Struthio camelus: one gene and its partners. The protein of the gene in region 4 interacts with the protein of the main gene of each other region in a pairwise test. Links are inferred from orthologs where the notes say so. Each region holds a gene or a part of one and is shown on either strand. Other genes may lie near its edges. The genes, in order: MFAP1, AEBP2, FAM161A and HMBOX1.

Evidence for each region.
Region 1: the proteins of HMBOX1 (region 4) and MFAP1 interact in binary tests that used the Homo sapiens proteins (3 or more experiments, as listed by UniProt). The two-hybrid records come from large-scale screens. The link is inferred for Struthio camelus from reciprocal best matches to the Homo sapiens genes HMBOX1 and MFAP1.
Region 2: the proteins of HMBOX1 (region 4) and AEBP2 interact in binary tests that used the Homo sapiens proteins (3 or more experiments, as listed by UniProt). The two-hybrid records come from large-scale screens. The link is inferred for Struthio camelus from reciprocal best matches to the Homo sapiens genes HMBOX1 and AEBP2.
Region 3: the proteins of HMBOX1 (region 4) and FAM161A interact in binary tests that used the Homo sapiens proteins (3 or more experiments, as listed by UniProt). The two-hybrid records come from large-scale screens. The link is inferred for Struthio camelus from reciprocal best matches to the Homo sapiens genes HMBOX1 and FAM161A.

Annotation. Positions count from the first base shown.
Region 1 is NC_090953.1:487,435-495,255, reverse strand, and holds the start of MFAP1 (microfibrillar-associated protein 1), read left to right. Parts: upstream 1-4,814; 5' UTR 4,815-4,937; coding exon 4,938-5,016; intron 5,017-5,116; coding exon 5,117-5,336; intron 5,337-5,936; coding exon 5,937-6,066; intron 6,067-6,441; coding exon 6,442-6,629; intron 6,630-7,192; coding exon 7,193-7,301; intron 7,302-7,375; coding exon 7,376-7,536; intron 7,537-7,820; coding exon 7,821-7,821. UniProt on the Homo sapiens protein: Involved in pre-mRNA splicing as a component of the spliceosome.
Region 2 is NC_090942.1:73,482,295-73,490,119, forward strand, and holds the start of AEBP2 (zinc finger protein AEBP2), read left to right. Parts: upstream 1-4,812; coding exon 4,813-5,510; intron 5,511-7,825. UniProt on the Homo sapiens protein: Acts as an accessory subunit for the core Polycomb repressive complex 2 (PRC2), which mediates histone H3K27 (H3K27me3) trimethylation on chromatin leading to transcriptional repression of the affected target gene.
Region 3 is NC_090944.1:131,148,226-131,156,099, forward strand, and holds the start of FAM161A (protein FAM161A), read left to right. Parts: upstream 1-4,873; 5' UTR 4,874-5,079; coding exon 5,080-5,151; intron 5,152-6,550; coding exon 6,551-6,795; intron 6,796-7,256; coding exon 7,257-7,874. Other genes in the region: CCT4 (T-complex protein 1 subunit delta), read left to right, coding at 1-118, 275-509, 1,657-1,770, 2,097-2,111. UniProt on the Homo sapiens protein: Involved in ciliogenesis.
Region 4 is NC_090944.1:9,668,827-9,676,752, forward strand, and holds the start of HMBOX1 (homeobox-containing protein 1), read left to right. Parts: upstream 1-4,917; 5' UTR 4,918-5,264; intron 5,265-5,417; exon of another isoform or gene 5,418-5,492; intron 5,493-6,558; exon of another isoform or gene 6,559-6,948; intron 6,949-7,926. Other genes in the region: INTS9 (integrator complex subunit 9), read right to left, coding at 196-323, 4,567-4,575. UniProt on the Homo sapiens protein: Binds directly to 5'-TTAGGG-3' repeats in telomeric DNA. Associates with the telomerase complex at sites of active telomere processing and positively regulates telomere elongation.

The DNA of each region.
Region 1 (7,821 bases), on a different chromosome or scaffold from region 4:
CTTGCATGTAAAAATCAGGTCAAATTTTGTCCTGGTTGCAGAGATTGCACAAGCTTCAGCAGCAAGGCGACTGCCAGTCTGCCCGAGCTGCCGAGAGGCTGAGCAGTGACGGGGAAGCGCCCTCGTCCACAGGCACCTGCATGGGGGTGACCCGGGGAGTTTGACGGGGCCGCAGCTGAGCTGCGCCTAGCAGCGACAGGGCGAGCGGAGACGGCAAAGCAGGGAAGCGCTCTAGGGGTTCCCGTAAGGAAAGGCAGCGGAGGAAGGACAGAGGCCCTCACAGAGGAGAAAACCAAACAAACAGCAATAACATCACAGAGAGGACATCAAGAGGGACCAAATCAATAACTAAATATTTACTTAGAGCGCAGTGGCCACACTGCCTGCTGCTCCCATGCAACCCTCCCACGGCAGGGGGGGGGCTGAGTCCGCAGCCCTCCGCGTTGCTGCGGACACGTTTCCCCAGCCCCCCCTTCCTGCACAGTTCTGCTCCCTTTCCCAAACCTCGGGGTGCAGATCCCACTTTCCTCTGGAATCTCTCCAACCCCTTCACCTCACGTCACTTCACTGCCGGACGCTACCAGCAGGTTCCTGAGACGGCCTTGGCGCGCCGGGAGGAGGGTGCGGAGCTGCAGCGGCTGCAGTCCCCGGGCTGGAGCTGCGTCTGCAAGGTCCCGATGGCTCACGAGGCGCTATTCATAGTCACGCTCCTAGACATAACATTTTATTGTGGTCACACACATGGGATTCTCGAGATCCACCCCAAACACGCTGACCTTGCCCTGCGGTACAGTTTGCAGACACAAACAGTGGCGGCTCAGAAGGGGGCTGTAACTTTATCTGCCTTCTGACTTTGCCGTCAACAGCCATAAGGCCGCCGAGGTATCAAATCCGCAGCCCGCCGTGCTACCGCCCCTCTTCAGCTTTGCTGCTTTACACCCTGCCACCTCATGCCCTGTGTACAGCTTATCGCTGTTCACGGCAAGGGACACCCCTGTCTGGCCTGAGCACCCCAAGGTCCCTGCCGCAGTCGGGGGTCTCAGCACAAACAGCAGTGCAAACAGGAACACAGGTGCGCGCGCGCAGGAAACACCCGTGCCAGCCCGTGGGCAGGACCCCCTTTTTCTCCTTAGGCTGCAGTGAGGCATGGGGGGTCGCTCATAGATCTCAACAAAGAAATTTAGTCCAAAGCCTGACGGGCAGAGGTTTTAGCCAGCAAGTTGACAACGCAGCAGGGAACGGAGCTGCCCGTGTCGGGTGCCGGGGCGCAGCGAGCTCGCACGCCGCCCCACGGCACCCCGGCTCCGCGAGCGCAGGGAAGGGGCAGCTCAGGCTCGCGCCGCGCCGCCGCCCCCGCCGGAGCCCGGCCCCGTGCGGACCGCCAGGCTGGCTGAAGGCTCGGGGCCGACACGTCGCCGCTGGCGCCCGGGGCCGGGGCTGAGGGGCATCGGTCCCTGGTCTGCGGAGGAAGGCGGCTGGGGCCGCTGCCCGGAGGCACAGGCTCTTGCCAGCCTGCCCTGTCCGCAGGGGATCAGCTAGGGAGGAGCAGCGACAGGACACCGCCGCTCCCGGCCCGGCGCGGGCTGGCTCTCCCTGGCCAGGGCAGGGCCAGGCCGCACCGCAGCAGGCTCCCTCAGCCCCCCTGCACCAGCTCAGGCGACTCCAGCACTCGGTTTCTGCAGCTCGGCTGCGGCTCTCAAGGGCACGCGGGGCAGAGGAGGCACGCTGCGGGCTCCGGGCTGCTTTCGGCCGTTGCTTCAGGCTTCTGCCGTCCCCCAGAACCGAAGCCAGCCAGGGAGAGCCCGTCCCTGTTTGCTGAGGTCTTTAACTCCACCTGAATGGCACATTATGTGCTTTGTGTGCAATTCCCAAGCTCTCCTTTAACAGTTAGGTCTAATTGTTTCACCTACTGAGTCACATGTTGAAGCTCACTCCTTGCCATGGTGACACTGGATTCATTAGGTGGGAACACACTGTGATAACCACACAAGATTAATATCTCATCAGATGATCAAACGCAGAGCAGGGAGCTGGGCCTGGAGCTCCAATTGCCGTCAGGACGTAAATGCCAGAAACACCGAGAGCTCTTGCTTATTCCTGGGCATCAGTTGCTGTAGGATTATAAAGCCACTAATGCCTTGTCTGCGAGGGCAAACCGCAAGCTGGCAGGGCACCGAGGGAGACCCACAGCACTGGGGCCCTGCCCGAGCGCTCCATCCCTCCTCCTCTCGCAGCTCTGCAGCCAGGCTGGCCAAATCCCCCAGCTCCTGTAAGCACAGAGGCTCCTGCGAAGGCAGCAAGGTCTGCCTGGGTCTCGCCAGCAGAAACAGGGATTGTCTGAGACGCAAAGCTACCGAAGAGCGCTGCAGTAAGCACCTTCACGCAGCGCCACGCCACGGGCTGCGCCCGGGATGCCCTGGCCACAGGCAGCCAGCGCTGCGAGATGGGCTGGCTCTGGCGGCGCTGCCCCAGGCCCAGGGGCCTCCTCGCGCTCTCGGCCTGCAGCCAGGGCCTTAGCCACGCTGGCAGGAGCCGCTTTACCCAGCTGGTCCTGCCCCGCCTCTCGCAGAGGGGCCGAGGACAAGGCGAGAGGCTCCCCCAAGACAGAATCCCCCGCAGCGTCAGCCTGGAGACCTCTGCAGCAGCCCTGGGACGCCCCGCGGCCCCCGACGAGCAGAGCCCGGACCCAGGGGCAGTGCTGCTGCTGAGAACCACTTTCTGCCGCTTCCTTCCACACCCCGGACTACCCCGCTCCCTCAGAACAGTAAGTTGCACTGGCTAAATCACATCCTCCCACGAGGAAACCTCCCAGCCTGCAGCCCAGGACACCAAAAGGAAGAGTTTGCTGCCTTTCCTTTGGGAGCATGCTCCAGCGCTGAACCTCCATCTGGGAAAACACACTTGCTTTTGGATTTCCTGGGCATCCACCTCTAGCAATGCCCATCACACCCCGTGGCCTCCGCAACGTGCCCACGAGGGCCCCTGCTCGGGGCTGGGCAGGGCGACCACCTGCCACGCGCACGGCTAACACAGCACTCATCCCTCCCCACTTCCCAAATTCCTGTTACGAGATGTGTCGCAGACTGGCTCAAGTCCTGCAGCTAGGTTTCCTGGAAGATAAAAACCTCTTCCTTTCTTTCAAGGCAGCACAAAATTGCAGACGTTGGCTTGGTGGTTTGTGACATAGTTTTGCCCTACTTCAGAAATCTTGTTTTCCGTGCCACAGAAAAGCAGGGCAGCTCTTGCAAGCTGATCAGTTCCCGAACAGCCGTTTTCCTCTGTGAACTCTAGCACCTCCTCGGAGGCAATGACCGTGGTGAATGCGTGCTTACGTGGGCAGCACCCTGCCACATTCAGAAAATCTTTCTCCCCTGCTATGAAACAGCCACGCCCCCAGGCCCTTCCTGCCACACACATGCCACAAACCTCCCGTCACTTGCACTGGGAAAGCCCCAGGAGGTTCTGCAGTGGTGGCAGTGGGAGAAGCATCTCCCCCCACAGAACAGCAGGAGAGTCCCGCTCCTCCAGGGTAAGTCAGCCTCCAGGTGCTCACGGTGCTGCAGCGAGAAGCGCTGCTGCGTAGGGAGCTGTGAAGGCGTCCTGGCAGCCTGGGAAGACACGAACCCGAGCAGCGAAGCTCCTGCTTGGCTTGGTTTGCTGCTAGTTTACAGAGCAGGAGGGCCCGGGACAAGACTCTGATCAACACAGCAGTGAAAAACCTTCACAGCTCCAGGCTTTGTCTCAGGTCAGACATCAACCCCAAGACCCAGCGTGGCTGGCAACAGGCACAGCACGAACTAAGACCCAGCGTGGCTGGCAACAGGCACAGCACGAACTGAACCCACAGCAGCTTCTGCAGTCGGACCCTACCATCCACCCAAAGAGCAACAGGTTCCCCTGGCCGTGCTAGGAGGAGCTCTGCAGCCCCACCAAGCACAGGATGCGTCCCACAGCCTCAGCAAGACCCTGCAGGAGTTAGAGGGACGGTGGCACCGTGGAGCCGCTGACATCCAATATCCATACAGCTGTACAGCAGCTGCTGGCTCTGCTTTTGCTGCTCATCATCTCCACTTTAGCTGCACAAATGGAGAAGGAGCAGGAACTTACATCACGGGCTGAACATCTTTTCCATTCAGAGTTCAGTCACTAAATTGGAAGAAGGGGGCCGTGAGCATCTGTGCCTCAGTCATCTCTCACCCCATGATGGTGTGCTTTATCTAGAGCGACACTACCTCGGGCAAATAATTCGAAACCCAAAAGGCTGGCAGCAGGCGGAGACCAAGACTCTAGATAGAGCCAAAGGCCCTGAGCACCAGGACGTGGATTAGGGAAGAGGCGACCAGATGCCCCAAGAAAATCGCAGCCCGAGCAGCGGAGGGCCAGAGCCCCAAGGCCCGAGGGAAGCTCCGGCCAGCAGGAAAGGCCTGCTCACGCGTCCCCCGTTCCCCAGCGCTCGAGAGGGCCCTTCGGGGCAACTCCGCACCCGCGCTGCGCCGCCAGCGCCTCCCCCCGCCGCCCGGCGGACCACGGGGAAAACACACGCAGCAGGTGGCGCAGCCGAACGCCCCCGCCCCGCCCGCCGAGGCGCGACGCCGCCCGTCGCCTGGGTGCCGGCGGCGGCGGGGGGCAGCGGCCCGCGGGGGGCGCTCCCCCGGGCGGCGCGGCCCAGCGCCGCGGCCCGCAGCACCCCCGGCCCGGCCCCAGGCGGCACCGGCAGCCGCCCCCGCCGGCCGCTCCCCCGCCCCGCCCCGGCGCGCCGGAAGTGACCGCCGCCAGTGGCGTCACTTCCGGCCAACGGCTCGCGGGGGCGGGAGGCGGCGGTTCCGCCGGAAGCGGGGGCGGCCGCAGTTCCGGTTCCGGGGGAGGAGGGTGCCCGCCGCCGCCAGAGCCGCCGCCGCTGCTGCCGCCGTCCCGTCCCGTCCCGACCCGCCGCCACCATGTCGGTCCCCAGCGCCCTCATGAAGCAGCCGCCGATCCAGTCCACGGCGGGCGCCGTGCCCGTCCGCAACGAGAAGGGTGAGCGGGGCACCGGGGGGGCCGGCGGCGGCGGCGGGGGGGGGAAGCCCGGGCCCGGTGGCGGCCGGCCGGGCCCCGGTGACGGCCGCCCCGCCCGCAGGCGAGCTCTCCATGGAGAAGGTGAAGGTGAAGCGGTACGTGTCGGGGAAGCGGCCCGACTACGCGCCCATGGAGTCCTCGGAGGAGGAGGACGAGGAGTTCCAGTTCATCAAGAAGGCGAAGGAGCAGGAGGTGGAGCCCGAGGAGCAGGAGGAGGAACTCGCCAACGACCCGCGGCTGCGGCGCCTCCAGAACCGCATCAGCGAGGACGTGGAGGAGCGGTGAGCAGCGCCTGCCCCCGGAGGAGACCCGGCCTTCCCCAGAGCCTCTGCCTCCGGCCCCGCTCTGCCGCTGACCGTCACCCAAGCACGGCCGCGCTCTCCCAGCCCTGCGGGAGCGGTCTCCAGCGCTGTTGGCGCGGGTGCTGGATCGTGCCGCGGGCCGCCGCTGTGCCGTGAGCACCCCTGAAAGCCAAGGGTCACGGCAGCCCCGCGTTCAGGAGCGGTTTGGCTGGCCCAGGGGAACAGCGGGTTCTGAAATAAAAATTAACACAGCGACACCTCTCTAGGCTAGCGGGAAGATATGGTTTCATCTGAATCGTATTCAGGGCAGAAAGTATCTGAGCACTGTTTACCTTCCCCCATAGAGGTACTTCAGCCTTCAGCACTAGTAAAGGGGAGGCTTCCCACCAAAAACACAAATGGGGAGGAAAAGCCACTGCCTGGCTGCTCCTGCCTTTTAGGAAAGGACATGCTGTTTCACTCCCAGACTCAGTCGTTCCAGTTTTTACTATGGCCTCATTAAGAACAATTCACAAATAGCCATCTTTCTGCGGTCTCTTTACGCTCAAAGTGCTGTAGTTCAACTAGGGTCTGTTACAGGCTGGCCAGACACCGTAAAATTGTGGAGCCTGAAGTGGTTGGAGACAGCGATTCAGAGGTGGAGGGAGAAGCTTGGCGGCTCGAACGGGAGGACACCAGCGAAGAGGAAGAGGAAGAGATCGATGATGAGGTATGCTTGCAGACCTGAACAGACTTGGCTTAAGAAAGCCCCTGAATGACACAGGCTGGAATAACCCATGTACGTGTGGAAAAGGCTATCTGGTGAAACTAGGGAGTTTCAGGACTTGCAGGTCACTCCATAGCTGGCCATGACTTAACTCTGGGTTACCTGTCTCTTGCTGCGAGGTGGGACGCTGGGTGAGGCCACCTTCCATCCTGAGGGACGGGAACATCTTTTTGTAACAAAGAGGTTCCAGACATGTCACTTCTGGCACAAAGAATCTGAAAGGAACTGGCTTCCTGCCTGAGGCAGAAAGTCTGTGGGGAAGGGAGCGGTAGCAGGGCTGCTCCACTGACTCCTCTGTGTTTGATGCACCTCCGTTAGGAGATTGAGCGTCGCCGTGGGATGATGCGCCAGCGAGCGCAGGAGAGGAAGACCGAGGAAATGGAGGTGATGGAGTTGGAAGATGAGGGTAGATCTGGAGAAGAGTCTGAGTCAGAGTCCGAGTATGAGGAGTACACAGACAGTGAGGATGAAATGGAGCCACGTCTCAAACCTGTCTTCATCCGCAAGTAGGTGACACGGTCAGGCAGGTCGGTCCTGTGTGAGGATGCAGGAGGCAGCGGCTGGGCGCCAAGCAGACGGTCACCGCTGTGATCTCCGCTTCGTACAGCGGGGCGGTAGCACTGCCTGCCTCCTAAGGGGAGGTGACAAATACCAGCCTGGCAGGGCACAGCTGAGGAGTAACGGGTGTTCGCTGAGCGGCCACGGGCAGCTCTTGCAGCTGTGTCAGGTCACTGCGTGGGACCAGCCGGTGGGTTTCATCGCAGCAGGGTTGTGCTAGGGCATTTGGGCAAGCGCTGTACAAAGAGCTGGGAAGCTGGCAGAGGGTAGTGCACCACGGCGGGTGCCTCGCGCTCTCTTCTCTCCACGCATGCCTGTAGCTGTAGGGGGAATTAGCAGGGCTGCCCTGGCTTGGGCAACAGCAGGAAGGGGAGAGCCCTTGAACTTGGCTCTTACTTGGAGAGTAAGGGCTAAGGGTCACTGCAGCACGGGAGCAGGATAAGTCTGTGAGGGGTTCGGCTGCATGGGCTCACGCTGAAAGGTTGAAGGCTTTTGTGGTCTCTGTCTATAGGAAGGACCGGATCACGGTTCAGGAGCGAGAAGCAGAAGCCTTGAAGCAGAAGGAGCTGGAGCAGGAGGCAAAGAGACTAGCAGAGGAGAGGCGCAAGTACACGCTCAAGGTACCGCGGGGCTGGCTGGGGGTGGCACAGGGAGGGTGGGCACTGCAGCAGGCTTACTTTCACCCTTGCTGCAGATTGTAGAAGAGGAAGCAAAGAAGGAACTGGAGGAGAACAAGCGTTCGCTGGCAGCACTGGATGCACTTGATACAGATGATGAGAACGACGAGGAGGAGTACGAGGCCTGGAAAGTACGTGAGCTGAAGCGTATCAAGCGGGATCGTGAAGAACGAGAAGCGTAAGTATTGTCTCTGCTTAGATCTGTGGCTGAGCGTCGGCAGGCCCAGGCCCTGCACCCTGCAGGCCAACTGACGGTTGAGGCCTCTCTTCCTCAGGCCTGCTTTTGACAGCACACTCTTACCTAGACAAAGCATCCAAAACATTTCCTCTCCACCCTCAGGGTGGCCTTGCTCCGCTGTGGAGTCAGTAAATGCAATCCCTTAGAAAGGCTTTCTGCAACAGTAATTGTCCCGAAACATTGCCGTGAGAGGTGCTGATTCTGAGGGGTTTTTGTCCTGCCAGC
Region 2 (7,825 bases), on a different chromosome or scaffold from region 4:
AGTCTACAGCCTCAGCTTTGGGTCACAGCCTAATGGGGCTATAGAAGAGGGACTCTAGGCAAACATGCATTCCCAGCAGGCTTCCTCGAACCAACCTAACTGAGACGTGATGTTTCTTATGGTCATTGCCCTGCTTTCTAAACAAATATGGGGAAAGATTAAAGGCAACTTTAAAAAGAAAAAGAGTGCAGGGAGTTTAAAGGGAGGATTAACTGGCTGCTGGAGGAGAGGGTGGGGTTAGAAATGCAATTGAAGGATGAGGTATGAGGTAGTTTCAGTTTGGTCTGAACAGAAGGGTGAGAAATGAGTGCTGGATGCTTAGCTGAAGGAACGGGAGGTTGCAGCCTCTTCCTCGAGACCTTGGATTTGGACAGGGCAGGGTGGGGCACAAAGGGAAGGGTGCAGTGTCCAGAGGCTGCTGAGCAGGCAGATTATTGTGAGCAAGGTGAGTCATGAGGTTCAGGCAGCAGGAATTTCCTGCAGTGTTTAAGACATACATGCGGAGGCAGGAGGAGGAGAAAAGAGGTCAGTGACCAAGTGTCTTGTTTTACAGAATTTCCCCCATGCATTCTAACAAGTACAAGACAGGCTGTCATTTTTCCTGTATCTTATGCCTATGGTATTTTTTTCCCTCTCTTTTTATAGACCTTTCTCTCTGTTTTGAAATATTTTGTTTGCATACTATACCTTATAAGAGTATCTTGATGCTGATCAACATTAGGAAAAAAACTCAAAACATTGCATAAAAAGTACCAAAGCTGAGCTACTTCTGATGATCTCACTGAAGTGTCCTTTAAAAAAAACCAAAAACCTGCAAAGTTGCTGCGACTCAAGAAAAGAAATTACTTTTTCGGAGTGCGCGTGCTCATCATTGACTCTGCTGTCAAAGTGAATGCACCTGCACCTTTGTGTTCCTGAGGTAAGACAATAACAGGTATGCTCTTAATTTCTTCTCCCTGCTCTGCTGTGTCTGCAATGCAACATAAATCTCTCTCAGAGATTTGTTAAGCTTGTTGTTTGTTCTTCTGCTAGTGGAGAAGGATTCTGCTTGGACGCTTTACCACGAACAAGCTTTAGCTAGCTTATCTACTGACTTTTGTTTACTTTTGTACCTTGTTGAGAATATCTTTGGAGTACCAGAGATTAGCATGTCTCATCATAAGTCCTTCAGCTTTAAAGTATTGTCTCTGTTGTAATAGGATCATACCAAGTTAGACCGAGCATACCGGCAGCCCTTTGTGTGAATGAGAGAGTAACATCCACCCTTACAGTGTAAGTAAGTGGATGTGTAAATTCTTTTTTTCCTAAAGGATTTCCTAACAGCATGTCCCTTGCTTTGAGCTTTCATTAGACCATTTAAATATAACTAATTTTGATGCTTTTGCAAGTTCTAGACTCACCTGTTCTCACACAGAGCTCTTCTTTCAAGACTGGAGCCAGGGTTTCAAAAAGTCAAAAACCATAGAGAAAAAGGAGATTGCCTTTGCTAAGCTGGAAAATTTGTCACAGGAAAAACTTCAATAACAAGAGACTCAAGTCACCATTGCTGCTGCTTGTATTTGATTGACTTTATTGCAGTGCTCAAGCACCAAGTCTGGATTGAGGATTTGGTGGTCCTGAAAACAGAACAGCACACCAAGAGATCATCAAAGAGTATTCCTTTGATGACTGCTGCAGTACTAACCCCTTTGGTACTGATCTCTTGCTTAAATGCTAACTGCTTTCCATTAGGCAGACTCCATACTGTCCTTCCTATTCATTTGTGCCCTGAGGTTCATTTCACTGGCCCTCTTTGAATAAACAAATGACTACCTAATGAACTGGCATCTCTACTGCTCCACTTAGGAGAGTGAAAAGTGAGAGGTCTGAATCAGCCAGTATGCTTTTGGTAAATAACAAATACGAGGAACCTTGGGGGCACTCATGACCTCAAGAAACCCAGACGGATAATAAAAAAAAAGAGTATAGAAATTTGATATTGTGGAATGTATTTGGACAATGTACACTAAGGTACATGGAGTTCTTTCAGATAAATAACTTTTTTTTTTTTTCTTTCCTTTTTTGCTCATATTCATAGGTTGTGAAAGGTGCCTTTTATGTAGCTCCATTACACGTTTTTGGTTTCTCATGACCTGGTACCTCTCTGATTCTGTCCCTCAATGCTACTGACCTTTAGACAACTCTAGAAAGGAAAGGAATTAATGGGTAAAGAGGCATAGGAATTGTTCTGGTTACTGCTGCCTTTTGACTGAGTCAAAAGGGTTCTCTTTTTCTTCTAAACCTCACTCTTACTGTGTGATGGGACTAGTGACAGTAACAGCCATGCAGGAGTGCCACACCTTTGTAACTGAAGGGGGAGGTATAGAGCAAATTGTTTCAGGTGGGGAAACGGGGGCGAGCAGAGATGATGCAGAAGCTGAGAGTTTGGTGACTATTCTAATGGACTTAGTAGAGCAATGATACATCTATTAAATAGATTAATTGGGATCAAGCAGTCCTCATCTTCAGTCTTGTCTACCTGCTCATTTTAAGCATTCTTACCAGTTCCATTTTCTAGACTAGTTCCATTCCAGGCTGAGTCTGGTTTCTAGAAATCTGAAAAACTATCATGACTTTTTTACTGTTGTTGTTTTTTAAAAAAATTGCTTATACTCATCCGCGCATTAAAGATGTTGTTAGTTTGACTTTAAAATTAATTCCATGCCCTGTCCCTTCGCTCCGGTACCGTGTTGCTCTTTCACTACCGTGACATTCTATTTTGATGTTGCTGCGCTAGAGATTGCTGACGTTGCTGCTAACAACTACTTTGTTGATGGGCTAGAAAACAACTCCAGTTATGCTAATGTAGGTCTTAGGAGCACCCTTTCCAGAGTTTAACCCAGTGCGGTTAACTTTTGCTTGAATGTAGGATCTCTGTGGATATGCCGGATACGCTTGCTGTAACTTGAACTGGTGATGTTCTTCCTATTATGCAGTTTGCACAATATTGTTTCTGGATTGAGTTGTGGTTCTGTGTTTTGTTGATTGCTTTTAAACTAAACTACCACCACTTCATAATTTTTTAAATGTGGCAAGCTCTGTAAGAGTTGGGTAAAGACTGACAAGATGTGCATGTGACATCTAAAACTCATATGGAATGGTATGTTATGCATTCAATTATTCCCCTCATCCCTCTAAAAATTTGTCAAACTGCCTAATTTCATCTGTTTTTTTTTCCTTTTCTACCCACCTTCCTGTTTTACTGCAAATCCCCCTCCTATCAACCTTTTCTAATCATTTCCACATGACAATTTTATCAAGTATTTCTTAATGTCTACATAACTAAAACGCTTGTCAAATAGCCAGTCAGGTTAGTCTGACATGATCTAACGTTAGTAAACTTTATCCCATTCTATGTTTACATTAAAATGCCTTTCTCAGTTGTTCTGAAGTCTTTGTATGTGATTGACAATCATCTTTTCATTTATCATTCACCTTTCCTTCTTAAATACATGCACCACATATTGTTACTAGATGGCACAGAGCCAAACTTAACAAGTTTACTAATCTCTGTCCCTCCAAAATGAAACTTGGTTTATCAAAAAGAGATTATCCAGTTTCCCCAGTTCTAGTACACTAAACTGTTTAGTTTTACTTCCACTTAAATGCAATCATTTCCATTTTGCATTTGCCATTAGTCAGTCATACTGCTTATGCCCCCACAGCCAACACGCTCCTTACTGAAGATGGAGGTTTCAGGCCATACCGAGTTTATTCTCTTTGCTCCCCCCTCACTGCATAGCTGGCCTACTTCTTCATCCCATTCCGTACTGCTGAAAACCTTTTTCTGTCTCCTTTGTGCCTCAGTTGAGCTTGTCTTTTGACAATTCCCACTCAGTAATGTCACATCTTGACCTGTACCCTGTAGCTCTCTTTGCTGAGGAGCCTTGTTTTTCCCTTTCTCATAAGCTCCATATTGTCCCCTCCTCCGACTCCCTTTAGTAACTATTAGTCCAGTCAGGCCTGGCGTCCCTACAGCTTCCTCCGCTTCCCCTTTCTTTCATGGATAGAAATTTCGCTAAGTTTTTTTCTCAGCTGTGGTTCCCGCTCTCTTTGCCCTGGCCGGCCAGCCGGCTACCCACAACTACCGGGCTACCCAACTTCAGCTTTTTAAAAAGATGAGGAGCCTGCTGCGGCAGTGAAGCCGGGGCTGCCGCGCCGCTGGGGTTATTTGTGCGAGTGAGGGCAGTGAGGGCAGGCGACGAGACTGCTGGCGCAACTCGCGGCCGGGAGGGACTTGTTCTCCCTTCCCGGGCTCGTCCTGCGGGACTTCCCCCTGCCTATGACTAAGTAGCGGCTCTGCCCACCCCCGCGACGCGGTGATTTTTCTGAGGGGAAGGCTGCTGCTGCTGCCGCTGCCGGGCGATGACGCGCCCGCTGCGAGCCGTTGGGAGCGAGGCAGAAGCCCCGCCCCTCCGCCCGCGGCGGGCTCGGCCGTTAACGCCCCTCCCGCGCGCCTCCCTCGCCCCCTCTGGAAACGCGACGCGAGGAGCCACTGCTCCGCCCTTCCGAGGTTTTTGTCCCCGGACGCGCGCCGTAGCGCGTGCGGCGACGGCAGCGGCGGGCGGCCCGGCGCCCCTCCTCTCTGCGGCTCGCGCCGCCGCGCGATTGTGCGGGTGAGGAGGGCCAGGGCGGGGGGAAGCGCGAGCAAGCGAGCGGGCGGGCGGGCGGGCGCGCGCGCGCGCCCGGGACACACGCACGCCCCCGCCCCCTCTCCCCCCCCACCCCACCCGTGCGCGCGCGCGCGCGCGCTCGCAGCGACTCGCAGGCGCCATGGCGGCCGCTCTGAGCGACATGGCGGAGCCGGAGGGGCTGCTGCTGCTGCTGCCCGGCGAGGCGGCGGCGGCGGCGGCGGCCGCCGCCGCGGCCGAGGAGGAGGAGGCGGCGGCCGCTGCCGCCGCCGGGGCTGGAGCCTCGTCGTCGCCGTCGTCCTCGGCGGCAGCGGAGGCAGAGTCGCTGCTGCTGTTGAACGGCGAGGCGGAGAGCATGTCGGAGCCGAGCCCGGAGAGCGCCAGCCAGGCCGGGGACGGAGAGGACGAGGACGACGAGGAGGAAGAGGAGGAGGAGGAAGAGGAGGAGGAGGAGGAGGAGGAGGAGGGCGGCGAGGAGGAGGAGAGCAGCCTGGTGGGCAGCAGCAGCAGCAGCACGAGCAGCGGCTGCTGCAGCGACGAGACCCGCTCGCTGAGCCCCGGCGGCAGCAGCGAGGCCGACGCCAAGGAGGAGCCCAAGGGCCCCCGGGGCAGCCAGGAGGACGGGCTGGGCCGCGGCGGCGGCGGCGGCGGGAGCAGCTCCAGCAGCGTGTCCAGCAGCGGCGGCGACGAGGGCTACGGCACCGGCACCGGCGGCGGAGGCGGCGGCGGCGGCGGCAGCAGCGGCAGCAGCAGCTGCAGCGCCACGTCGGGGGGCCGGCGGGGCAGCCTGGAGATGTCGTCGGACGGGGAGCCGCTGAGCCGCATGGACTCGGAGGACAGGTCAGTGCCTCCCTCCGCGTCCCGGGCCAGGGCCGGCGCTGGGCTCCGCCGGTGGCCGCGGCCCTGCCGCGGGCGCCATGTCCCGCCGCCGCGCGGCCCCGGGCTCCCCCGCGGGGGCCCCCGGGCGCCATCTCGGCGGCGGCGGGGCCGGGGCTGTCACGCCGCCCGCGGGGCGGCGGCGGCGGCGGCCGGCAGCCACAGGTTTCCCAGGCCAACTTGTGCCGCCCGGCGTGCGGGGCTTGGCGGCGGGGCAGAGCCGGCCCGCCGCCCCGCCTCGCCCTGCCTCGCCTCGCCTCGCCGCGGCTGTGCGGGCCCTGCCGGCCTGCGGGGGCCCTCGGGGGCTTCTGCCGCTTCTGCCCCGCCGACCCGGGGCGTGCGCGCTTGCGAGGGAGCCGCCGAGCTGCTGCAGAAGTCACTCACTTGGGTAGGTGCCTCGCTGATAACCGCCGCAAGTGCCCCGCTGGGTTACGAGCAGCACGGAGTAACGTGTGCTTAGGCGGTAGTGGTTGGCTGTTATTTCCCTTGGAAGCTGGTGTTTTCTCTTTGGAAGATGCTGAGGTTGTGTCCTGCATTGAAGGGCAGGCGGGATGCCCTAAAGCTTAAGGGTAGGAAGTGTTTTGTGGGCTTGTTCTGCCTGCGCCCGTGTGAGCCTCTCCGTGCTACGAACGAACAGAATGTCAATCTTTTCAAGCGCAAGGGGGAAAAAATAGCTTTTCCAAAATAAAAAGGTAGCTAGTCTTTCAGTATTAAGCACGCACAAGAAATAAGCCTGCACAGTATTAAGCGTGGCGTAATAATCAAATGTAAAAGTTATCTCTGTAGCAATGAATGTGAAGATTATTTGGGGTTTGGATCATCTTTCTTGTACTGAGACTTTAGCTTAATTCTTGTGGAAAGGCACAAATTCTTGCACGTGATTGAATTCTACCTTTCAGGTATTGTCTAGTCTATTATGTCAAGTACTTCTAAAGACTGTGGTTTATCTAGTGGCTTTTTCAGATGTATGTGCTATGGTTTAGTTGACAAGCTGAAGATAGGTTGCTTAAGCTGAAGATAGGATACTTAAAATAGTGTAGGTCTCTTTTCTGGTTTGTCCTTTCAAACAGTTTAAGAAGCTAGTGTGCTATTTTTCATCTCAGTTTGGCCTAAAAAAAGTATCTCATTTCCCTGTTAGAATTACAGTTAAGTAAAAACTACAATCTGATTTAAATCAAACAAACTTTTTCTTAAGACAAGTTCATTGTTAAAGTGTGAAGAATTGTGTGTCTTGGTCCAGATACGTATTTTCCGAATACATTAGACTGAATTCCGTATACCTATACAAGTACCCGTATTTCAAAAGTGTGGCGTCAGTAGATCTAGCCTCAGTTATTAAAAACAACTAAAGAGAACCCCTGTGAGTCAGTTCCCCAAAACCATGTAATTGGCCTGAAAGTCTTCAGACTACAGAGGAAAAAAATTCAGTTCTTTGGTTTCCATCTGACTTTTGAGACTTTAGGGTTCACTGGGGCCACGTTTTCTTTTCTCCATACTGTGCAAGATTAGAAAGCTTTTTTTGTGTGTGTGAAAGCTGAGATTTTACATGAAATCACATAAATACGGGAGTAGGCTTCTGGAAAAAACAGCAGATACGTAGTGGAGTTTTAAGATAATCTTTTCTTAGTTTTCGCCTAATCTAAATCTGATCCTAATCTGTCCCGAGTCCAGACCAATTATGAGTTTAGAAAATAACAGAAATGAGTTGCACGGGGTTTTCTGGTGGTAGAGTTGATGTTATGTCTTGCTTGTGCACTCTAAAGCCAGTGTCCTACTTTCTTTCTCTATCATTGTTTTTGTGTTTCTCTTGCTGTAGTGACATAGTTATATCTATGTGTATACCTCTTTGTTGCTCCTTTGCAATACCATTGGTACAGATTCACTTGCAGGAGTGAATCCTTTGTATTCAGCTGTTTAAATAAGGACTGTACCTTCTTTTCAATCTTCGTAAAGTTTTGTCTTGAGCTTCTAGGCGGAAAACATGGGGATGCCAGGAAGGCACTGTAGTTCACAGACACTTCACTGTAATTTCCAAGCCTGTTAGTTGAATTGGACAGGTAAAGAGCAATACTACTAAGAATGCCATTTGTTATTCCTAATGATGGAAAATTTCACTTTAGGTGCACTCCTTGCTGCAGCCTGGTAGACTGCCTTATTATTTTTGCTACATGTAGCCCAACAAGTTACTTGCTTGACCTACTGATCCAAATGACTGCTGTTCCCTGGCAGTGAGTCAGAAAATAGCATGTGCCTTTTAAAGGGTCAGCCAGATAAGCAGA
Region 3 (7,874 bases), about 120 Mb from region 4:
CAAACCCTGGAAAAACTGTAACGATTGTGGTACGTGGATCCAACAAACTTGTTCTAGAAGAAGCTGAGCGTTCAATTCATGATGCCCTGTGTGTCATAAGATGCTTAGTTAAGAAAAGGTAACATCTTAGTTTTGTCAAATAGTGACTTAGCATACTAATAATACAGAAAGCTAACCATTTATACACTTAAAATGAGATTTGATTTTTTTTTTTTTCTTTTTCCCCCCACCCTCCCCCCCCTCCCTCCTTCCTTCCTTTCTTCTCTGTTCTCAGAGCTTTAATTGCAGGAGGTGGAGCACCGGAGATAGAGTTAGCACTGCGCTTGAATGAGTATGCTCGCACTTTGAGCGGTATGGACTCGTACTGTGTCCGTGCGTATGGGGACGCACTGGAAGTCATACCATCTACACTGGCTGAAAATGCAGGCCTCAATCCTATTTCAACGGTTACAGAGCTGAGAAACAGACATGCTCAAGGAGAGAAAACAGCTGGCATTAATGTCAGAAAGGTAATAAGGAATCATACATGCACAGCAGAGTTTTTTAGAGAATACATTGGGTATCTTAAAGGGAAAATGCTAAGCATTAGGGCTGAAATAAGGAAATGCCAAATTTGTCTCATGGCTGTATTCTCCCTAAGATTATAGTGTTGGGATAGATCATAGCTTGCTCTTTCAGGCGTTAAGAACCATCTTGGGTATTGATAATAGCAGATACTTAAATGCCATGCACCTAGAACAAGACACTTGTCGTTTGTTGCTTCAGAACCATTATTAGAACAGAAGTCTCCTGCAGTCAACTTCTAGAAAACAGATCTAGGTGGAATATTTTGTCAGTATTATCTACAGTGCTTATATGATGAGATTAGCCCTTGAAAAAATAACCAGCTTTAGAGACCCTTTCCCCTGTAGAAAGAAACAAGTACTACTCTCCAGTTGAGCACTTGCAGATTGTGACATTAACATCACCCTTCCAGGGATTTATCTGGCACGTGGAAAGAAACAGTTTTGGCTGTCCCAAAAGAGTCTTTGAGAAACTTAGTTGTGGTGTATGAGGGGGATAACTGATTGTCTTCACTCACGAAGAACAGTTTTGTGAAATATATTCATTGTAAAACATGGAGTTTGTCCACAGGTGTAAGAACAAATAGTGCTGGAATTGCAGCCTAAAAATACCCGCGTTTAAATAGGTGCAGTGGCATAGGGTGAATAGAGTAAGAAGGATTACTTTTGAAATTTAGACTTCTAAATCTTTACAGCTGTCAGAACCTGATAACAGCTCCTTAAGTAATTTATTCTTAAATGAGTTTAGAATGCATTCCCTAAAGAATAAAGTTAGATAAAGCAGGGTTTTTTTGTTCGTTTTGCGTTCATCTTGAACGCGTTGTTAGCAGCGCGGCAGGCTAGCTACTTGCTTGTATATTTTCCACTGTGTTTAAGCTAGCACCGCTATGTTTGTCGTTCTCTTGGCTAATTTTGAGTGGATTCGTCAAATACTCAGAGGGAGAAGACCTATGCCGTAATATTCCTGTTCCAGAGAACAGAATAGCTATTTGATGATTGAAGTTGAACGTCCTTTCCAAGGTTCTGTTAAAAGGTTACAGTTAGCTTTAACAAGTTATCTCACGTTCACTAAGCAAGCTACTCGTTCTTCCAGGGTGGGATCTCCAACATCTTGGAGGAGTTGGTAGTCCAGCCACTGCTAGTGTCCGTGAGTGCACTGACTCTCGCAACAGAAACTGTGCGCAGTATTCTTAAGATTGACGATGTGGTGAGTAATGTTTGCAGCACATTCTGCTTATGTCCTGCTGTTTACACAAGCACTAGAAAAATTACTGTTATCGAACTTGCTGTATTTCAAAATGTTTCATTCTGTATTCTCAGTTTAAATGCTACTTGACCCTTCAGTCTTCTAGCAACTGCTTATGATAATTAAATTGTAGAACGGTAATTAAAACTAAGTCAGATTGCTTTTAATAATATAAATACAGTACCTTAAAGTAAGAAGTTAAAAAATCCTACATTTTCTAGTCATTTAAATAGAGATTTAGAAGTAATGGTTTTTGTTTTTGTTTGTTTGTTTTTAATTCTTTGCAGGTGAACACTCGGTAAGACAAATAAAGGAAATGGGACTTTGCCCTGGAGTACCTTCCCTGTAGTTTGGAATATGGTTTCCTCACCCAAAACGCCTATGTGAATCGTCTTAAAGTCCGCAAACACTTACGTACTTTTATCACGTTAATTTAATAAAATCTTTGGTTTCAAAAAGCAAATGCTTTTTATCAGTCACAGTATAGTACCATACCTGAATTTTTCCCTTAAAAGGGCCAGGAATAAGAACATATTTCTCAGTGTTACATTTGCTTTTCTGTGCTACGTGATGCTCTTTAGTTCTGAAAAGTTTAACAGCAAATAATTAGCTTTTATCTAGATTCTGAAAAGGCCCTTGAATTAACTCTTCACTACCATAATAACCTCGAGGTGCATCTCTAAAAGTTACTTGTAAGGGAAGGGTGTTTCTTCCTTAAATTTTACTAGAGATAGACTGAAGAAACCCCTTTGAATTGTTACCACCAAAGAATACAAAATTCCACACTATAGTTTTTCCCCTGCAGTATATGTTAGCCCCTGGTACTACCCTATGATAAAGAAGTCTTTCAGTGCGCTCTTTTCTTTGTACTTCATCCATCTGAGAAAACATTAGTCTCCATATCTGCAAGTGGACAAACGGAAATAAAAACTCATTTTCAGACCTGCCTTGCTCATAGATTGACCACAGCAACAACAAAATGGTCTCCTTAGCACTTGGCTGCATGATTGAAGGAGGTAAAATCCTAGCCAGGTCCTCTCTGAATATTGGCTATCTGTTGTTGGACAAAAATTGTCGGGCTCTTAACACTCATAGCTAGTACTTAGAGAAGGACTGAAAGTCGTCTTGCACAACTCATGGGGGCAACAGTGGCACTGAAGACTTAAATAAGCATGGTACGTGCATGATTTCTGAATTCCATGTAGCTCTATAAAATGCTGGAGGAGGTAGCAAGTGTAGAAACAATGAATTGTAAATCTCAAAGCTAAATCTAGTTTAAAAAAGCAGGGATAATAACTGATATTACTACTCTATTAATAGGGTTTTATTTAAAACCAGTTTCGGTGAACTGAAGAATCTCTCTGAAACAGCTGCAAGATTTAGCTCTTCCTGTTCTTTTGGTCACTTCCATCATCCTGTTCAAGTTGACAGGTCTATCTGGGAAAAGCCCAGGACTGAGGCCTTGTTGAACATCTTGGGTACTTCTCTCTCTCACACGCACGCACGCACGCACGCACGCACACACACATACCCTGAATGTTAGTGAGGTTGACAGCCAGCAGCAAGGCTGATTATACTCTTTCTAAGAAAAGGGTTAATAGCTGTGAAAGTAAATGGTAAGATTGTGTGAGATCACTGCAACAGTTAGTTGATTTTCCCAAAACAGGCTGGGAAGTCAAATGATAAATTGCCCTATTTTAAGAAGCAATTCATCAAATACATCCTAAATTCTATTAATACCTGGAGGAAATACGTACTCTTGTTCGAAAAGGCAGCTTCGTGGTCTTGCCGCATCTTGGACAGTGCGTTAGCTAGCACTGCGTACACAGGATGAGTAGGGTCACTTCATGGGGCTGAGCTGTTAGCAGGGTTGTGACCTGCACTGCAGTGGTTTTACCTTGGCTAACAGGAGAATCCTGGCTACATCAGGATTCATTCAGTTTAGAGTGAATGTTAACTACATTTTATGGCTTAGGGTAAAAATATTTCAACTTGCTTCTAACTCTTAGGATGAAAGTCTGAATTAATGCTGTAATCCTCTTCGTTGCTATATTGAGATGATCAGATTCTTCTTTATATTTAAACGAGATTATTTCTCTTCCCAAAATTTATTGCATTTTTATTTGCTATCAAAATCAGATGTGTGGCTTTTGAGGAAGTTTCTGTTACTGAATGTGTTGACCAGGTTTAGTTGAAATCATCACTTTTATGGCTATGTATATCATTCAGAATAATTCAGATATTTTAAAAAGAAGACAAATTAACTGATTTAGGCTTTAAGCTCTGTATGCATGATTTATTGGCTAATTAAAAATATGAATTATGCCTTACCTCACAGGATTACTCCCAGCAATGAGGCCAGTCTTTTAAACTGATCTATCCAGTTCAGGTATTAATTCTTGATTAGAGCTTTCCTTCCCAATCCTCACAGATTTCCAATTCTTGACAAGATTTAACAGCTAGCCTGTACAATGTGATCATTTCATCTGTTTCTTTGCATTAAAAAGTACTTGTAATTTCACTAAAATAAATAGGTCCAGCCATCATTAATGGAAGTGGAAGAGTATTCCTGATGATCCCAGTTTACCCTTATTCTGCAACTATTTGCTCATTTCAAGTAGGAACTGCTCTTAAAGTAGCAGAGTGCTTAATAATTCGAGCTGGGGGCAGGGGGGAGACTGGGTTTGGGAAAGAGAATGCAGCGTTCCAGCAAAAATCCTGCAAAAAGTTATCTAGGAGATGAGTCTGTATAGTAGGAATGGTGGGTTTGGGTGGGTTTTTTTTTTTTTTTTTTTTTTGCCCTCAGACTGAACAGACACGAATTTCAATGCAGTATTTGATGTGTCTCTTCGCTAGCACGTGACGGCTCGCGGTCATGCCCGTTTCGCAGCTGGAAGGCGGCACCGGCAGCCCAGCGGCGCGGGGGAGCCGCCGCCGCCGGGCCGGTGCGCGGGGCGGCGCCCTCGGCCACGGCGCCGCGCAGGCCGAGCGGCTCGGCGGCCGCGGCCCGACCCCGCCCTGCAGCGCCGAAGGCGCAGACGCAGCGAGGGCGGCAGGAGCCGGCCGTGCCGCGGCGGGGCGGCGGGCCCCCCCTCCCCATCCCCTCGCCGCGGCTCCCGCCCAACAGGCAGGAGCCCGCCGGGCCCCAGCAGCCTCCGCTGCCGGCTCCCCGTCAAGAGCCAGAAACGGCGCTGGCGGGCGGAGAGCAGCAGTCTGCGTTCAGAGCCACCGCGCTCTCCCCCCGCACGCAACCGGCCGGCCGCCGGCGCCATGGCGGCGGCGCCCCGGGCCGCCTCCGGCCTCCGCCCCCCGCGCCCGCGGGCCCCCGCCGCCCCCCAGCAGGTACCGCGGGGCCGCGCCGGGAGCGGGAGGCCGCGGGCGGCGGCGGCGCTGGGCAGCAGCAAGGCTGCTGTTGCGGGGGGGGGCAGGCGGGTGGGACGGGTTTTCTCTGTAAGCGGGCGGCGGGCAGGGGCTGCCGAAGGAGGCGGCGGCCGAGCTGTGGGAGCCGCTGCGGAGCCCGAGCTGCGCCGGCAGCGGGGAGCGCCGCCGCCCCGGGGCCTGGCTGCGACGTTGCTGCTGCTGCTCTCGGGGTAAAAATAGCCTGGGAAGCTCCCGTTTTTGAAGACCTTACCAGTGACGTGGCGGAAGAGCAGACGCAGGGGACGAGATCTGCCTGATTTAGCACGCGGAACAGATGGCCGTGCTGCGCTGCCGGGGCCGGCGCAGAGCTCTTAATGAGCTCGTCGGGCCGAAGGGATCCAAGAGCGGATTGAAGAAGCGGGGTGCCTGCCTTGAGGGAAAAGACGGGGTCTTTCCGTGGATGAAGAACTGAAATGAGAGAGGCATACACAGTGTCAAAAGAAACAGCTTCAGGAAGATTCAGCTGGTGCCTTTCATCGGGCATGCTTTAACAGCTTTTTAAATTCATTTATTTGATCATGGCATTCGCTTTATGTTTGATCGCTGCGTTACGGAGAAAACAAGTTTGAGATTTTTGGACCGAAAACATGACAAAACATAAACAAGGCTTTTTTGGTTGGCATGTAAAAGCCTATTAAAATACCTGTGTGGAACAGTATTATCCTAATTGTTTAGATGAAGAAATTAACCCTGTAACTTCTTAAAACATAGTGCCCAAAAAATGACTTAAAAGAAGCCTTTTTTAATAATACTTACTTCTCTGACTTGTTCAAGCTTTATGTTTAAAGAACGTGCTTACCTGCCCCAAAGTGCAAGCTGGCGGAAACACTATTTAAAGTGAAAGTTATGCAAAATACTTCCCATTTCCACAATTCACTGTGAAATAATAATAGAAACATTTATGCAAAAGATACCACATGACTTATTATGAGAATACTTATGAAAATGAGAGGCAGAGAAGTTTGTTTAAAAAATGTGGGTTTTTTAAGCTGCATGTTTCACCATGGGAAAAAATTCACCAAGGAAAAATTACAGTGCTAAACAAGTTATACTTTTAATAACTCCTTTTGATCTTATTTCCTGATATAATATCCTGATTACAGGGATAGACTGTTAAGAATTTAACATGCTTTAGATAGAACCCTTAGTATATAAATTATTATACAATAAGGCTATTCCATATAATGTTGCATTCAAATCTGTACATATGTATCTCTGATGTTACTGTACCATTCATTGGACTTAATCAGATAAAGTGATATTATGAACCTCGGTCCCCTTTCTTCTAACACTCACAAAACTTGACAAAAATCTCTTCCAGGATGGTTTTGATTTGGATTCAAATACTGACAAAGAGCAGACCTCTGTAAATGGGAACTGTGACAAGTGGATGGACTTTTCCAAAATGTGCAATTCAAATCAAGAATATTACTTGAAGCTAGAAGAACTGAAGAACGCCCACCTGGAGACCATGGCGAAATTAGAAAGTATGTATCGGAATAAACTACACCTAAAAGGAGCACAATCTTTGGACAAAAAAGATGCTGCTCCTAATATATGTTATAGGTAAGTTTAATAATAATCTTCAGTTTGGTGGTGCCTTCTGTCTGAAGGTTCTAAAGTGCTTTGCAGACATCAGTAAGTATGGCAATTTTTTTCTGAAGCTGGAAAGTTACCATTTCCGATAAGTAGATAATCATAAAAAGCTAGCTTTAATATTTAAAAATGCTTACTCACCTTGCTAATGAACTATGAGATTTACAGGGGTGTGTGTGAAGCTGCGACTGGGCAGCATGTTTAGTAAAGCATGGTGCCTTTCCTTTAGAAATGCTGATTTATTCCTAATCTAAATTACTTTACAACTATGATTTGGAGTGAATGCCCCATGTTCTTCTCTTTTCCTTTGCCTTGCCTCTCTCCTCTTCCCCAGCAACTCTATCCATTTTATCTTCGTGACACTGAAAGTGGAAATCACTGGCTTTGTGTCAATATTGGCTGGACTCGACTCAAAACAATTTTTTTTACAGGTCAACTTGGGAGAAGAGCTCATATCAGCCTCTAAATTTGCACAGATCCTTTTCTGAGTCTGACTTAACTGATCCTTTAGGTTCAAGTATATCTGATGGGTCTGAAAGTGAATTAGTGTTTGAAGAAAATGGTAGTGAAACTGGATCATCAGCGTTTGCTAAGCAGCAGATTGAAAAAATGTGGGACGGGTTCTCTGTGGAAGACTATGTCCCCCGCACCAAACACAGCTTACCAAGCTCACCAGCATTCAGAATGATGAGGAAGAAGCAGAAGGCATGGTCCCCAAAAGTTACTGTGCCCAAGCCTTTCCAGATGACTATTAGGGAAGCCAGGAAAAAAGAACAGAATGTCAAATCAAAGTCACAGCTTGAAATGGAAAATAACTTACTGAAGAAGCAACTAGAGGAAGAGGCAGAGTGTCAGAAAAAGTTCCGAGCCAACCCAGTGCCAGCATCCGTCTTCCTTCCGCTCTACCATGAAATCGCGGAACAGAACGAAGAACGCAGGAAATGTGTGAAAGAGAGAAGCAAACTTATGCTTTTGGCTTCTCAGAAGCCATTTAAATTCATCGAAAGAGAAAAGCAAAGGAATGAAATTAGGAAAATGCAATTAAAAGA
Region 4 (7,926 bases):
CTTCCGTCTACTGAGCCAAAGGATGTTATTCTGATAAAGAGAATTTTTAAGTGAACAAAGTCTATTTATGATATCAGATGATGCTGTTCATTTGTACTCATCCGCTCCCTCCTCCCAATACACCATTTCACACAAAGCACTCCAGCTGCAACCCAAGAAGACACAGACTAAGTGCTTACAGGCCGCAGAACATACCTCTGAACCAGTGGCAATGGGAGGAAATTGAGGGTAGAGGTCATATCCAACCCGCAATCCAACATGATGGTGGTAGATTTGAACTTGAGTACGTTGCATGGTAAGGTTGGATGTCCTGACAGGCAGTACTGACAGAAGAATATGAGAATGAGTTAATCATGATCTTTATCAACATAGCAACCATCCATAAAATAGTCCTTTTTTCTAATTTTTAAACAAGAGGTAGTTTCATGAGCGCCAAAATGAAATCTAGTTTTCCACAAATTTGTGTCTCATAGCTGTGTATGTGTTCATTGAAGTTTTCCCCATGCCAGGGTATTACGAGGCAGGTTTTCTTCAGTCCAGGTTTTCTGATCCTTAACAAAGGGTGAGAGAACGACATAGCCCCTCTTTCTATTTTAGGACACGTATAGAGTCTCCCTCTTTAACACCACCTATTTTCACAAAATTCCTTTGAAACTAATATCTTTAAAACTCAGTCCTACTGGCAAAACTTGCCTGAAATTGGCTAGAGAATTTAAAAAATACTTGAGGAGGAAAGAGAAGGGAGAGAACTCCTACAGCATCACAAGATTTACTTCCTTAAGAAACCAGGCTAAACAAACAAACAAGGAGCAGCCCACACCTTCTGTGGCTCCTTGAGCCAGCTCAGCAGAGGAAACTGTGCATGTGCGCAGCAGCAGCAGCAGCTCTGGGGCATGCTCTCACCTGCTTTTTGTCTTGCTAAACGCAAACAGGAAACACTAGGGAACAGACAACCCTACCTGAATGGAATGGTTTGTGTACTGAAAAAACCCAAACGCTTTCCAAGCTTAATGAGCCAGTAAGCAGGTTATGTACAGGGGCACTTCAGCATCATCCAGATGCAGTCACCTCTTGTATGGAGAATGGCAAATATTTAACAATGAACAGGAGCAGCTAAAGCTTTGAATAAGAAGAGAAGTGAATAAAAATGCCGCCTTTAACAAGTGGGAGTAAAGAAGTAAATGTTCAAAAAGAGTGTGGCCACCTTAGCATGAGGGTTTCTCTTTGGCAAGAGATTCAATGCATCTTCAGGGATTGCAAGAACAGGAGATTTTGCATCTCGAATACAACACTTTGCATCTTAACGTTTGGGCATCTGGCAGCATAGCAACTCTCGGATGGTCAAACTTAGCTCTTTAACCCCAATCAACCACACTGGAATTTAAAATATTAATTGGTTGTCCATGTACTGCTTTGACTATAAAAACAGTTTTCGTCATTTTTCTAAGTCATTTATACCTTATGCTTACTTCCTACGCTCCACTCTGCTAAGTGGAAAGGAGGTAGATTAATCATTTTATTCCCTACCTCTGCTCATCACACATTAACAAAGAATTGCAACTGTTTGGATTAACAACTCCCAAGGAGACTGTTTACTTACATTCCTCAAAAAGCAGTTTTAAGTTATATTTAAATGCTAAAAAGCTATTAAACCCCAAATAGTACATTCAAAATAATCACAAAGACTTTTGTTTTAAAATTCATAAAGCCTTAATTATTAACAAGCAACATTATGTTTGCCTGCTGTTAGCATAATTTAAGAAAACCTTAAGAAACCAAGCTGGTGAGTAAGGGATATAGGTATGGAATATGTATACCATATGAATGTATACCATATGGTATACATATATGCATATGCATATATGTATTCCTTATATATATGTAAGGAATTCAGCTGCTTCTTTTGTGAATGCAAGATACACATGCGAAATTATGTTTTCACCACACCAGAACTTTGACAGCTGAAGGTACAACTGAAGTAAATAGAAAGAAATGGGGGGGGGATCTTAACTATTTTTATAGCTTTTAAACTATCGCTAATTAAAAAAGCAATAAAATATCACCACTTTTATCAGCAAAGCACTCTCTTGCTCTTTTTTAAATCATGAATAGGATCATGACCCTGACATTTGCGAGCTAACTGGAAAATCTTCCTCTTTTCTTCCTTAACAGCATCTACAATAATCTATATTTGCTGTCAAGCTGTGGTAAGTGGATTCCTGAGAGTCAGTGGATTCTTTCTTTCAATTCATGTAAAGCGACCAAAAAACCATAAAGTAATTCATATATGCTATACAGCTATTTGCACATGTGGTATTTCGGGGCCTGTACAATTAGAATTTTTGTTTAAGAATTCAGGAATTCTAATGCCTGCATTATACATATCTCTATATGTACTATAAATGTGACGGACTATTTCCCACACAGATTATAGCTGTTACCGCTTAAAATAGATCCAGAGATCTAATATTCCTGATCTGACTAAAAGACAAGTCCTTTTTGCACTAATATTTGCTTTCTTCTATCTTTCTTCCATTATGACTGAAGGTTAGCGCAGCTAACACAACAGGTACTTATACTCGTAATTAAAAAATAGCAGTGGAAAAAGCTCACAAAATATGTACAAAATACTATAAATACGCCCATCTCCGCTCACAACTTTCTCAGCAGGCTTTGTAAATTGGATGAAAATCTGATGAAAATCTGATGAAAATCTTGAGTGGGGCGCAAAGAGACCAAGACGAGGGGTTAATTCCAAATACTAAAACCCTCATAGAGAAAGGTTCTCAGCAGACAGCTGGTTCAAGCTGAGCACTTGCCAGCTCTGAGTGTCTCTGGTGATCTCATATATGGCAATGTGACAGAGAAAAGACATGATGTCTCAAACTAGCCACTCCAAAATACTGAAGATTTCGCAGGTTAAAGCCAGTGCTTTGAATTACAACTGAAGCCAACATAGACTGCAATGCTTTTCCAATGTTATCACACGCTAGCCTAAAGTCTAGGGGGAATTTTGCAACTGGATTTGTCCGAATCAAAGCACGTTAGAATTTGTGGGAGTCTCTCATTTGCACTGGATTCCGAATCAGGTCCAGAGACTTGTTTCCTCTATCCTGTTCTTCCAAATTCAGACTAAATATATGACAAAAGAGGATGAAATACCATCCCAACTCCTACCTCCACAACCCCAAGTTTCAGGCACAACTCCAGACAAACACAAGATGAAGAACCTGGTCTTATGCTCCTGACCTCCAAGTTTGTAAGCAGGTCTAAAACTGTTACAATATAGATTTCAGATAGCTTGCATTTTTCCCACTTCTTCCCTCTCTCTGCCCTCGTACAAGAATAGGATGGGTTTTGCTTCTCAGTGGCTGGATAGAACAAAGAATTCTGCATTTCCACTATGGTTTTCATTTGGAGATTTCTCAGCTTGCTTTTTGTTGTGCCTTATATCGATCTTTACAGTCATGTAGAGAACTGCTTAGCTTTGCACAGTTTGTCCCACTGGTCGTACTCATGCACACACAGAGACTTAATCACATACGTAAGATTATGCAGGATCAAGCTCTTCAGCCACCTGTCTACTGAACTAATTTTACACAGTTAGCCACAGCCAGTGATCTACCAGAAGTCACAAAAGAAGCCCAGAATCCAGGTCCACTTCTATGAAGCTTTCTCAAGACAAACTGCAGAGTTTCAAAACGGAGAGACAATCGGTCTCTCCTTAAAACAGGTTTAATAGTAGTGTAACTTTAAGTTAAAGAAATCAAATGTAATGCTCAGAAATTTTGAAAGCTGTTTCATTTTTCATTTCCAAAGAACTGCAGCATATTGAGCGGACAATAAATCAGTGGCTGAATCCAAATACCTTGGAAAACTTAAATAGTTGAAAAAGGAGATTTATACAGTGGGTATCAATAACACGGAGTGATGCCTTTTCTAATAACCTTCCCTTTAAAACATTATACTATTGAAAGCAAAATATCTGTCATAATCATAGCGCGCCCTTGACAAAGCTATTCCAGGATGATTTTCTTCTGAGTACTTATTTGCGTGACTATCATAATAACTATAAAACATGGATATGACCTCTGCTATGAACCATGGAGATTTATTAATATTTCTAGAGTAATTTAGCGGAAGCCACACGTGCAACGGGCTAGCTCCTGTCTTGCTCCAAGCCGAGGTTCACGTTCAAGGAGGATATGAAGAAACAGCTCTTCCCTCCAAATCCCGCTACCGCTTAACCTGATCTAAAACCCAAAACGCAGAGAGCCCCTAAAACCACCGGCGGGGTGAGCGGCCGGGGGTGGCGGAGGAAGGAGAGGGAGAGCCGGTTGCTCAGGCCTAGGCCCCTTAGCACGCGCAGGTGCCTCCCCGGCGGCTCCCCGACGACCGTTTAACGGTCACTGCCGGGCCGGCACCGGCCGGATCGCGGAGCGGGGGGCTGAGGCCGCCCTCCCCCCACAACGCCACGATCTCCCGCATGGCGGCCCCCCCCTCCCACCCTTACCTACGTCCCCCAAGCAGGCCCCCCCCGCAGACCCCCTAACTACACGGACTCACCAGCTTCATGCTTTACCCGGTTCTATTTACTGGGACAATCCTGCCCCCCCCCCCACCCCGCTTCCTGCCTAGCCCCCCCTCCACCCCACCCCGCCCCAGAGCATCATGGGACTTGAAGTCCGGCCGCCCGCCCAGGATGAAGTCATGGCCCCCCTCTTCCACCTTGCCCTCCTCTCCCGAGGCATGCCGGGAGTGGTAGTCCGCTCCGCGCTTCGCCCCGCGCTCCGCCGGCGCGCCGTGCCCCCGAGGCACGCTGGGAGTCGTAGTCCTGGGACCGCGGCTCTCCCCGTCACCCTGGGGAGGGGGGGACTACAAGTCCCAGGGTCTCACAGCGGCAGCAGGTGGGAGCTTGGATGTTGATATCAACATGGCGCTTGTCAGACAGACAAAGACAGTCAGTCTGGTGTGATTGAGCCAAAAAAAAAAAAAAAAAGAGAGAGAGAGAGCAAGCGAGAGGGAAAGATAGAAGGAGAGAGAGAGAGAGACGGGGTGAGGGGTGCTCTTTCCCTCGGGGGGGGGGTTGGGGAGGGGGGGGGATCTGGCAGCCGAGGGATTTTCCCCCCCCGCATTGTTCTCGTCCCTGTGCACCCCCGCGAAGCTCCCCCTCAGGCCGGGGCGGGGGAGGCAGGCAGGGAGGGGACCCCCCCCCCCTCTCCCGCTGTTCAATGGTGAGGTGGCGCAGGAGCCCGGATCCAGAGGTGAGTGTTACTTGTGGGGAGGAGGAAAGTGTGGGGCCGGGGAGAAGAAGAGGGAGGGAGAGAGTAGGGGCGGCGAGGGGAGGGGGCGGGTGGGTGGGTGGGCTGGAAGGAGGGAGGGGAGGGGAGGGAGGGCGCAGGGTCCCCCCCACCCCCGCCTCAGCCAGCGCCGAGGCTGCCTGTGGGGCAGTCGCGCCGTGCGGGCGAGCGGCTTCCCTGGCAGCGCAGGAGGTGCGTGGACGAGGGGGCAGCCCGGGGGGGGCCGGGTGGGGCAGGCCGGGCCAAGGCAGGCCAGGCCGGGCCAGGCCCCTCAGCCCGCGCCGCTTGTCGCCGGCAGAGTTTTGTGCCGCGGAGCTGGGTGGCTCCTCGTCTCCTTGAAGCCGCGGAGCGGCGGAGGAAGGTGCCCCTTGGAGCCTGGGGTGGGGGGGCTGCTGAGGGAGGGCAGGGCAGCCTCTCGCTTCTCCTCGGAAGGTTTTTTAAAACGGGAGAGGAGCCCTTCCATTTTCCTCCCTGGGATTTTTATTTCATTCCATTTATTTATTTATTTATTTACCCCCCCCCCCACACACACACACACCACCACCCTCCTTGGGTGGGAAGGGAAGAACTCGCGGTGGCAGAGTCCCCTCGGGCTGGGTGGGTGTGTTTATTTTTGTGGGGTTTTATTTTTTTTTTGGGGGGGGGGGGGAATGTGAGTGTGTGTTTTGTTTTGTTTGTTTGCTGCCGGAGTTGGAGCCCGGGGTTGGGCTGCTGCCGCCTCGTCGCCTGTGAGAGGGGGCGGCGAGGGCCCCCCCCAACCCTCCTCCTCCTCCCCCCCCCCTCCTCCGGGCGGGGTGTAGGGGGGGGTGCTGGCCCGGCTCGGCAGCACTTTGGCCGAGCAGTTACCTCGGGGTTGAGGGGGGAGGCCGGAGGGGGAAGGTGTGCGAGGCGGATCGCCCCCCCCCCCCAGCGGAGGGGTTATTTTGGGGGGGGGGGCGGTTAAGCCCTGGGGGTGAGAAGGGGAGAGGGGGCCCCCGCCGGCGACGGGCAGATCTGTTGCTGCTCCCGGCGCTTTGCCGGGGTTGGGGGGGGGGGGACAAGGCGTGAACCCGGAGGGTGTCTTGTTGCTGGAGAGTTTTAACGTGGGTGGGGGAGGAGGAGGACCCGGAGGGAAGTCGTTCCCCAAATGTGCTTGGAGAGCTTGGGTGGGGTGTCGTACGCGTGGTGGTTTTGTACTTCTGGAGATTTTGGGGCGGGGGAGGCGTAAACGTTCTTGCTGTCTGCGATCTTCTTCGGGAGAAGAGTGGGTTTGACCCCCAGACGGTTTGGAAGAAGCGGTGGGGAACGCTGCTGAACTGTTTCGTGCTGCTTCGGGGGGGTAAAGTGACACGAGCCACGAGTGTTTTTACGGGCGAAACCTACGCGAGGCGGACTGCGCTGAGTTCTCCAGGCTCAGTTTCGTCTGATGGGTTTTTTTTAGTTGTTTTAAAGAGTATCTCTTGGTATGTTTGCAGAGCACTTTTTTGGAAACCTTTTTTTTTTTCTTTTTGGCTTTTTTGTTCTCTGAAAAAAAAAAAAACCCTTGATCATGTGTACTGTTTTTCCTTGCCCCCTCATATATAGGGAAGAAAAAAATGCTTTTTTAGGGGGGAGGGAAAGAGGAAGAGGAAATGAAGATTGCAAGCCTGTTTGCTCTTCGTAGAGTCAGGTATATCTTAATTTGTTCTCAAGCTTAAGTAACGTTAGAGGTACGGATAAGTGGCTTTAAGTACAAAACGTGTATGAACTAAAGCTAGGAAGATTTAAACTTGGCAGGGAAGAAAGCGTTAAGCTGATGGCCAGGGCACGCGGTTGAGAACACGGTCCGAGCAGCTCTGATAGACGCTGGCTACGTGCCCCTGCTTCAAACTAATGGGGATGGAGGAGAAGGAAACTGGTGGAAAAACTACAATTTGCATGAATGAGAGCATGTAAAATATACCATACTGGAGAAATGGCCTGTGCTAGGCAGATAATTTGTGGGCTTTGCAAAACCCTGAAGTGCCCGCCTGCGTCCCATGATATGTGACTAGCTCATTTCTGCAGGGCTCATCAGGTACGGACTCTGCTTCCTTCCTGGGATGGTGCAGCTGGCATTTGATTTCCTCCATGGATGGGAGAGGAGGAGTCCTGTGCAGTTTTTTTTCCTGAGATGATTGCATTTTCTTTGGCCTTGCTGTACCCTGCCTCATTAGTAGGAACTGCATCTATATTTATTTACCATTATACCATGTCTCTTGGGATGTCGGGTGTAGTTTGGAGTAGGTATATATGGATTTATCACTCTTAACGTTTTTTTTCCTCCTGTCACGCCTGGGCCAAATCCTTCAACAGCAGAGAGCAAACTTAATTTAAGTCTACATTTTGCATCTCTCTTTTTGCCATTTCTCTTCCAAATTGTGAAGAAAACATTTCTGAGATACAGGTTGGGGAGGGAAGTAGGGGAGAAATGGGAGATGGATAGAAGAATATAAGGCTGGGATGCATTTGTTATCTGCATGTTCTAGGAGCACTGGGCTCTCTGAAGAGTGGGGTTTGATATTGCGTGTGTAAACCGTGATCCTGGGATTTGGGAATGCTGTGTCTTTTCTCTTATATGAAAATTCTTGTTTAACCCCGTGACAGCCACAACTTTTTTGTGTGGCTA